2 separate regions of the Mus musculus genome follow, and region 2 is reported to be linked to region 1. The links are microRNA targets in miRTarBase. Many come from high-throughput screens and were not tested one by one. Region 1 holds a microRNA gene; the other region holds the end of a gene's coding sequence.

The links. Region 1 holds the annotated microRNA mmu-miR-935 (CCCAGUUACCGCUUCCGCUACCGC, at 1,744-1,767, shown strand). A microRNA usually pairs through its seed, bases 2 to 8, with sites in the 3' UTR of a target mRNA and lowers its output. Matches are read on the target gene's strand: a 7mer-m8 pairs with bases 2 to 8, a 7mer-A1 pairs with bases 2 to 7 and ends in A, and an 8mer does both.
Region 2: miRTarBase lists Ndufc1 as a target of mmu-miR-935. The part of its 3' UTR that is shown has no 7-base or 8-base seed match.

Annotation. Positions count from the first base shown.
Region 1 is chr7:3,413,377-3,416,718 of GRCm38, forward strand. It overlaps Gm23450 (predicted gene, 23450), which reads left to right and starts at 1,690; the gene lies at 1,690-1,780. It overlaps Cacng8 (calcium channel, voltage-dependent, gamma subunit 8), which reads left to right. Exons shown (of 4, transcript NM_133190.3): 4 at 1,463-2,890. The coding sequence ends at 2,229.
Region 2 is chr3:51,404,358-51,407,763 of GRCm38, reverse strand. It overlaps Ndufc1 (NADH:ubiquinone oxidoreductase subunit C1), which reads left to right. Exons shown (of 4, transcript NM_025523.1): 3 at 352-428; 4 at 2,145-2,285. The coding sequence ends at 411. Among named protein-coding and RNA genes, the nearest start is that of Ndufc1, 2.9 kb to the left of the region's middle.

The DNA.
Region 1 (3,342 bases):
TAATGAAGATGGGGCTTAGACTCCTAGAGGGGAGTTTTAACACATTTAAATGGCAGGGTGTATGTTGTAGACAGGGGTGGTCTAGATCTGTTCAGGGAGGGGCTGAATTTAGGTCTGGGAGAGGTATGTGGCAGGGTGGAAGTCTAGCCTACACCTACAGGGCCTGGGGTTTAAAAAACTGGAGGTTGGGCCTGGAGTACAAAGGCCACCTAAGAAGGTCGAACTTGAGGCTAGCCAGAGTGAATTAGGTTACATACCTAGCCAAGGACTCTGTAGTGCGGGGAGTTAGGTCAGCAATGGACAGAGCCTAGAGACTTAAAGTGGAATTGCATCATTCGTAGCAAAAGGAGAAGAGGGAGATACCGGTTTATACTTCAGCCAGGAGCTGGAAACCGAGCCTGAGACTACCTCAGGAAGGGTAGGTTTAAGACCAGTCAACGTTGAGCCTAGATGAGCTGGGGCAGAGTTTAGGCCAGTGGAGGCTAGACAGAAGGGGCAGAACCAGACTACCTGGGGGTGATAGCTAGACCGCGGAAAAGAATTAAGATGATTAGGATAGAGATGAGCCATTGTCAGCCATTGCCAGAAATCTCAGAAGGTTAAGATCTGAGTCTTCTTGGGGTCAAGGCCTTGACCGCATACGGGTGCAATTTAGATCCATGTAGGTGAGACTTATGGAACTTAGCAGAAAGGGGGGCCTGGGCCAGTTAAAAGTAGGGCCAATGTTAACTGGGGAATGGAGCTAACCCAGAAGGCAGAGGCCAGACCTCCAAGGGAAGTACTTTAGGCCAGTGGAGGAGGGGCTTAGATTTCTGAAGACCGGCGTAGGCCTGCCTATAGGAGCAGACCTTAGACTTCTCTGGGAGAGTTTTGACTCTTGGAGGCAGGGTCTAGATTCCTGATGCAGAGTTAGCTCATTGGAGTGGTACTTAAACCTCGGTAGGGGTGAATTTCAAACCAATGACAGCGGGGCTTAGACTCCTAGAATGGAATTTAGTCCAGTAAAGGTGAGACTTAAGTTCTTGGGTAGAGTTTAGCAGGCAGGGTTTATACTGCTAGGTAGGGTTTAGGCCAATGGGGCAGGGCTCTGATTGCTGGAGTAGAATTTAGCCCAGCAGAAATACGGATGGAGTTAGATTACTGGATAAGGATTTAAGACTCCTTGGTGGAATTTAGTCCAGTAGAGATAGCCTCTTAGACTAGTGGAGTACTTAGACTCCCAATGCAGGTGAGACTTAGACCAGGTGGGCAGGACTTAAGACTCTTGAGTTGGAGTTTAACCCAGTGGGATCAAGGTTTAGACACTTCGAGTAGTTTTTAGTCCAGTGGGTCTCGTGGCTTAGACTCCTCGGGTGGAATTTAGCCAGAGGAATACCTGGCTTAGAGTCTTGGGGCTTTAAGACAGTTGGTAGTGCTGGAGCCCTGGCGGCCTTGAGGCTCCCACATGACCGTCTCCATCCAGGCTTGAGCAACATCATCGGGGTGATTGTGTACATATCGGCCAACGCCGGCGAGCCTGGCCCCAAGAGGGACGAGGAGAAGAAAAACCACTACTCGTACGGCTGGTCCTTCTACTTCGGCGGGCTGTCCTTCATCCTGGCTGAGGTGATCGGAGTACTGGCCGTCAACATCTACATCGAGCGCAGCCGCGAGGCACACTGCCAATCACGCTCGGACCTGCTCAAGGCCGGCGGCGGCGCGGGCGGCAGTGGCGGGAGCGGCCCCTCGGCCATCCTCCGTCTGCCCAGTTACCGCTTCCGCTACCGCCGCCGCTCCCGCTCCAGCTCCCGAGGCTCCAGCGAGGCGTCGCCATCCCGGGATGCGTCTCCCGGCGGCCCCGGGGGCCCGGGCTTCGCCTCCACGGACATCTCCATGTACACGCTCAGCCGCGACCCGTCCAAGGGCAGCGTGGCTGCGGGGCTGGCGAGCGCCGGTGGCGGCGGCAGCGGTGCCGGCGTGGGTGCCTACGGCGGGGCGGCCGGGGCGGCGGGGGGCGGCGGGGCGGGCTCGGAGCGGGACCGCGGGAGCTCGGCGGGTTTTCTCACGCTGCACAACGCCTTCCCCAAGGAAGCGGCGTCCGGCGTCACGGTCACAGTCACCGGACCGCCCGCTGCACCCGCGCCCGCGCCCGCGCCGCCCGCTCCTGCAGCGCCCGCGCCCGGGACCCTGTCCAAAGAGGCCGCGGCGTCCAACACCAACACGCTCAACAGGAAAACCACGCCCGTGTAGGGGCGTGCGCCCTCGCGGGGGAGCCGGGGGGCGTGTCCGGGGCGCGTGCGCGGGCGCGCGTGCAACGAGGCCGCCGGATCAGGGTGCCCCCCAGGTCTATCCCCGCGAGCGCGCTGGACACCGCTGGGCCTTCTAGCCCCTCTCCGCACCCTCTACCCGCCCCTGGGGGCGTGGGGAACCCCGTCACGCTCCGAAACAGGGACCCTTGGGGAGGGGGACGGGACGGGAAAGGGGTTCCAGCGTGGGAGCGCTGTGTTTTATTTTTGTGTTGGGAAGATTTCAGGGGAGGGAGGGAGGGCCCGTGGTGTTTTTTGCAGTTTTGAGATGTTTTCTTTTTAAATGTTTTGCTGTGTGCATGTGGAGGCGGGGCGGGGGGAGGGGAGGGAGGGACTCCCAGCCCAGCCCAGCCCAGCCCAGCCCAACTCCTGGAGAGGGGCACATAACACATGAATATAGGGTTACATCTACAACTATATATACACATGTTCTGTATAAAGAGACCAGCAGAAGGCAAAGGCCAAGGGAGAGACGCGCTCACATTTAGTTCACTTTTTCATCTTTCAACAAGGGCTTATTAAGCACCTACTGTGTACCAGGTGATGGTACAGAAGGTGGTGCTAGAGAGGAGGGGACATAAACGCAAGGCGCATCCGTTCATTCATTTCTGGAAGTTTTATGTGTGTGCGCGCGCATAACCGCTAGGCATTGTACTCACCGTTGAACACACAGAAGGGAAGAAAATAGGGTTCCTGGCATCTTCAGAGAGTTCACATCTTGTACTTGAGACAACCATTAATCACAAAATCACATACATACCCAGTAAATGACACTTAGAAATGTAGAGGCCCTCTGGGGCTGTAGCTCAGTTTATAGAGTGCTTGCCTAACACAAGCCCTGGGTTCCATTCCCAGCACCGCATACACTAGGTACTGCGGTAAACACCGCTAATTCCAACACTTGGAAGGTGAATGGAGTTCAAGGTCATCCTGGGCTGTATATTTGTATATTGAAGTTGAGGCCAGCCTGAACGACGAGACTCTTGTATTTTAAAAAAGGTACAATTTGCAGGTTGGGGGGTCTGAGATGCTACAGAGTGTTCCAAGAAGGGGTAAT
Region 2 (3,406 bases), not on the chromosome of region 1:
GACAGCATACTGTATTTAGACATTGCATACACACACACACACACACACACACACACACACAGAGGTACACAAAAGTATAGCATATACTTATCAGCCAGCCTACAACACACTCAACAGCTAGAGTGTCACTTCTTATAATTCCATATGCTTTCCACTGTATCATTCTCAAATTTAATGTCAGGCTGTGGCCAACAAATTATTCCACTAATAATTTTTGAATTTGAATTTCTTACCTTTTTAGTTGTTTTAATCCACCCAATTTCTCTCATGAAACATAAGGATCTCTACTTGGTTTCTTGGTCTTTAAGCTGCTGGAAGCTCACATTTCTAATTTTAACCATTATCTTGTAGCTCATCCAAACACACAATGAAGATGTTTTGGAGTATAAAAGAAGAAATGGATTGGAATAAACTTTGGAAATAATACAGTAAGTACAGTTATAGAGGACATAGATTATGGAAGTTTATCTGTGTGTTTGTGAATGAGGCAGGGTCCCACTCCAAGGACACATGCCTTTTTTAGTTCTAGCACTAGAGGGCTAGAGGGAGGCAGGTCTCTCTGAGGCCATCCTGGTTTAAGTAGTGAGTTCTAGGACATCCAGGGCTAAGTAAAGAGACCCTGCATCAAAAGAGAGACTGAGTCTCACTGCATAGCCTTGAACGCATTATATAGACTAGGATCCACCTGCCTCTGCCTCCGAAGTGCTGAGATTTAAGGAGTGTGCCTGCAGGGTGACACCAGTACTGGATGAGGCCATGCAAACCTGTAATGCGAGTACTGCAGAAACTGTGGCAAGGAGATGCTGAATCTGAGGCTAGCCTGGTCTGCACATCAAGACCCAGTCCCAAACAAAGACAGCAGGGAAATCAACAGTAACCACACCACATTGAGTCACATCTTCTTCACTGGTACTTTACGCTTTGTTTCATAGCACTTGGGACAAGCTGGCATCATTTGCGTGTGCTTCCTAATGTCTGTTTGCTGTTCTTATACTTGAACGTGACTTTCTTCTGTATTAATGTTCACGTTCTCAAACTGTCCTGAATGCCCAGCCATCTTAGGAGTTTAGTATTTGTAGGACAAATGACTGTATAGAGGCAGCGGATTCAGGATTTTTTTTTCTGCGTGGCCATGTTATGATTGTCACTACAGCTAGCATCCACTGAGGAGCTCAGGTAAAACCTAATATGAATGATTTAAGAGAGAAGATTTGTGAGTATGTTTGTGCACGCGTGTGTCACACAAAGCATATATATATCACTTAAAGTATATGCTTTATTTCTGAAAATTATTTGAAAGGAGTTCTTGATAAAGTGAAATCCCTCGTTACAATTAATCGTATCTTCTAGACTGAGGAGTTAGCTCAGTGGTTAAAGCAACGCCACATAAGCCTGAGGACCAGAGCTCAGATGCTCAGGAGGCATAGCATCCACGTGGAATTCCAAAACTCTGGAAGTGGACAGAGGATTCCCAGGATAAGATGGCTAATCATATTAGCCACTGGGGAGCTCTGGGGCCAATCAAGAAACCCTGCCTCAATGAATAAGGGGAAAAGCCATTGATAGACACCCCCAGCATCCGCCTGGGGCCTTCCTGTTGCTGTGCACACATGCAGACATGCACATGCACCACACACAAAATATGTCAGTTTCCATGGGTTACACTGATAAAAATACCTTGTATCTGCTAGATAATAAACATAGTAATCACAACACACATTTTCTTTATCTAAGAACTCTGAAATTTAACACTTTAGAATTTATTGTCCAAGTCTTCTGCTGCTTTTTTATACCACTTTGCCCATTTCAGTACTTATGCTATGGATCTAAAATTAAGTACTGAGGGTTTGTTTTTTGGTTTTTTTTTTTTTTTTTTTTGAGACAGGGTTTCTCTGTGTAGCCCTGGCTGTCCTGGAACTCACTTTGTAGACCAGGCTGGTCTCGAACTCAGAAATCCGCCTGCCTCTGCCTCCCGAGTGCTGGGATTAAAGGTGTGCGCCACCAAGCCCGGCTCTGATATTATTTAATAGATATATTTTCTAGATTTTTTTTCTGATGCTTTAAGATGAATTATTCAGAGATGTCAGTTTTAAGATTATCTGATCAGTCCCTTGGTTGGTTGTTGTTTTTCCCTCTTCTTGTAGGTCAGCTTCATGTGATGATCACAGTCCTTCCTCTGGATTCACCCTCAGTGACGGATGTGAGAAAAGAGTTACATGCGAATATGAGTCAGTCAACACGTTTTGCATGGTTAAGTTAAAGAAATAAAAATACTCGCGCTCCTCATGTGTAGACGGAGTCACTGGTCAGTGCTGATGGACTCTTACTTGTTTTGTTTTGTTTTGTTTCCAAGACAGGGTTTCTCTGTGTAGCCCTGACTGTCCTGGAACTCACTTTGTAGACCAGGCTGGTCTCGAACTCAGAAATCCGCCTGCCTCTGCCTCCCAAGTGCTGGGATTAAAGGCGTTCACCACCATGCCCAGCTAGCACAGAATTCTTGAAGCCCTGGGTTTAATCACATGAATGAAAATTGTAAAAAGGCTAGAGAGTAGATGTACTTTAAAATGATTTATTATCTAAGCCTTCCTTGCACAGTGTCTTTGGATGTCATTCTGGACATAAATTCAAAATTACAGTATTTGAGATTAGATATACAAATGCTATGAAAAATCAAAAATAATACCAACTTTCCTTATGTCAGTTTGGAGTCCTGATAGAGTGAGTAGTAAAACTTGACAGATTATAGACCAATCTCATGTAAATGCAGTAACTAGAGAAAGATCTATGATAGGAAGAAAGACAATTATTAGGGTCCAAGAATTGCCGAAAAAATAATACCCTAGCCTCAAATAGCATGCAAAAGTAGAGAGTGTTAGCTGAATTTCCCACATGCAGGGGTCTCCCATGGAGATCCCTGGTGGACTTGTAGGCCCGGCTTTTATTGTCAGTTAGGGGAATGCTCTTAGGGATTGGTTCTAATGTTTTGATTTAATTGGGAATCTTTGTGTCCAAATCCTGAAGGTCCTTGTCCCCAATTGTTTTTTGATTGATCAATAAAGATGCCAGCGGCCAATGGCTAGGCAAAGGAAGACAGGGTGGAACCTTTAGATTTTTGTTTTTTTGTTTTTTCCAGACAGGGTTTCTCTGTGTAGCCTTGGCTGTCCTGGAACTCACTCTGTAGACCAGGCTGGCCTTGAACTCGGAGATCCACCTGCCTCCCAAATGCTAGGATTAAAGGTGTGTGCCGCCACGCCCAGCTACCTTTAGATTGGGCCTGGGGTAGCAGGGGAAGGTTTAAGAGTGCCCAGCCTTTGAGGTAGCCAAGCCATTTTAAAATTAACTGGTGTGTGTGTGTGTGTGTGTGTGTGTGTGTGTGTGTGTGTGTGTGTGTGTGTGTGTGTGTGTC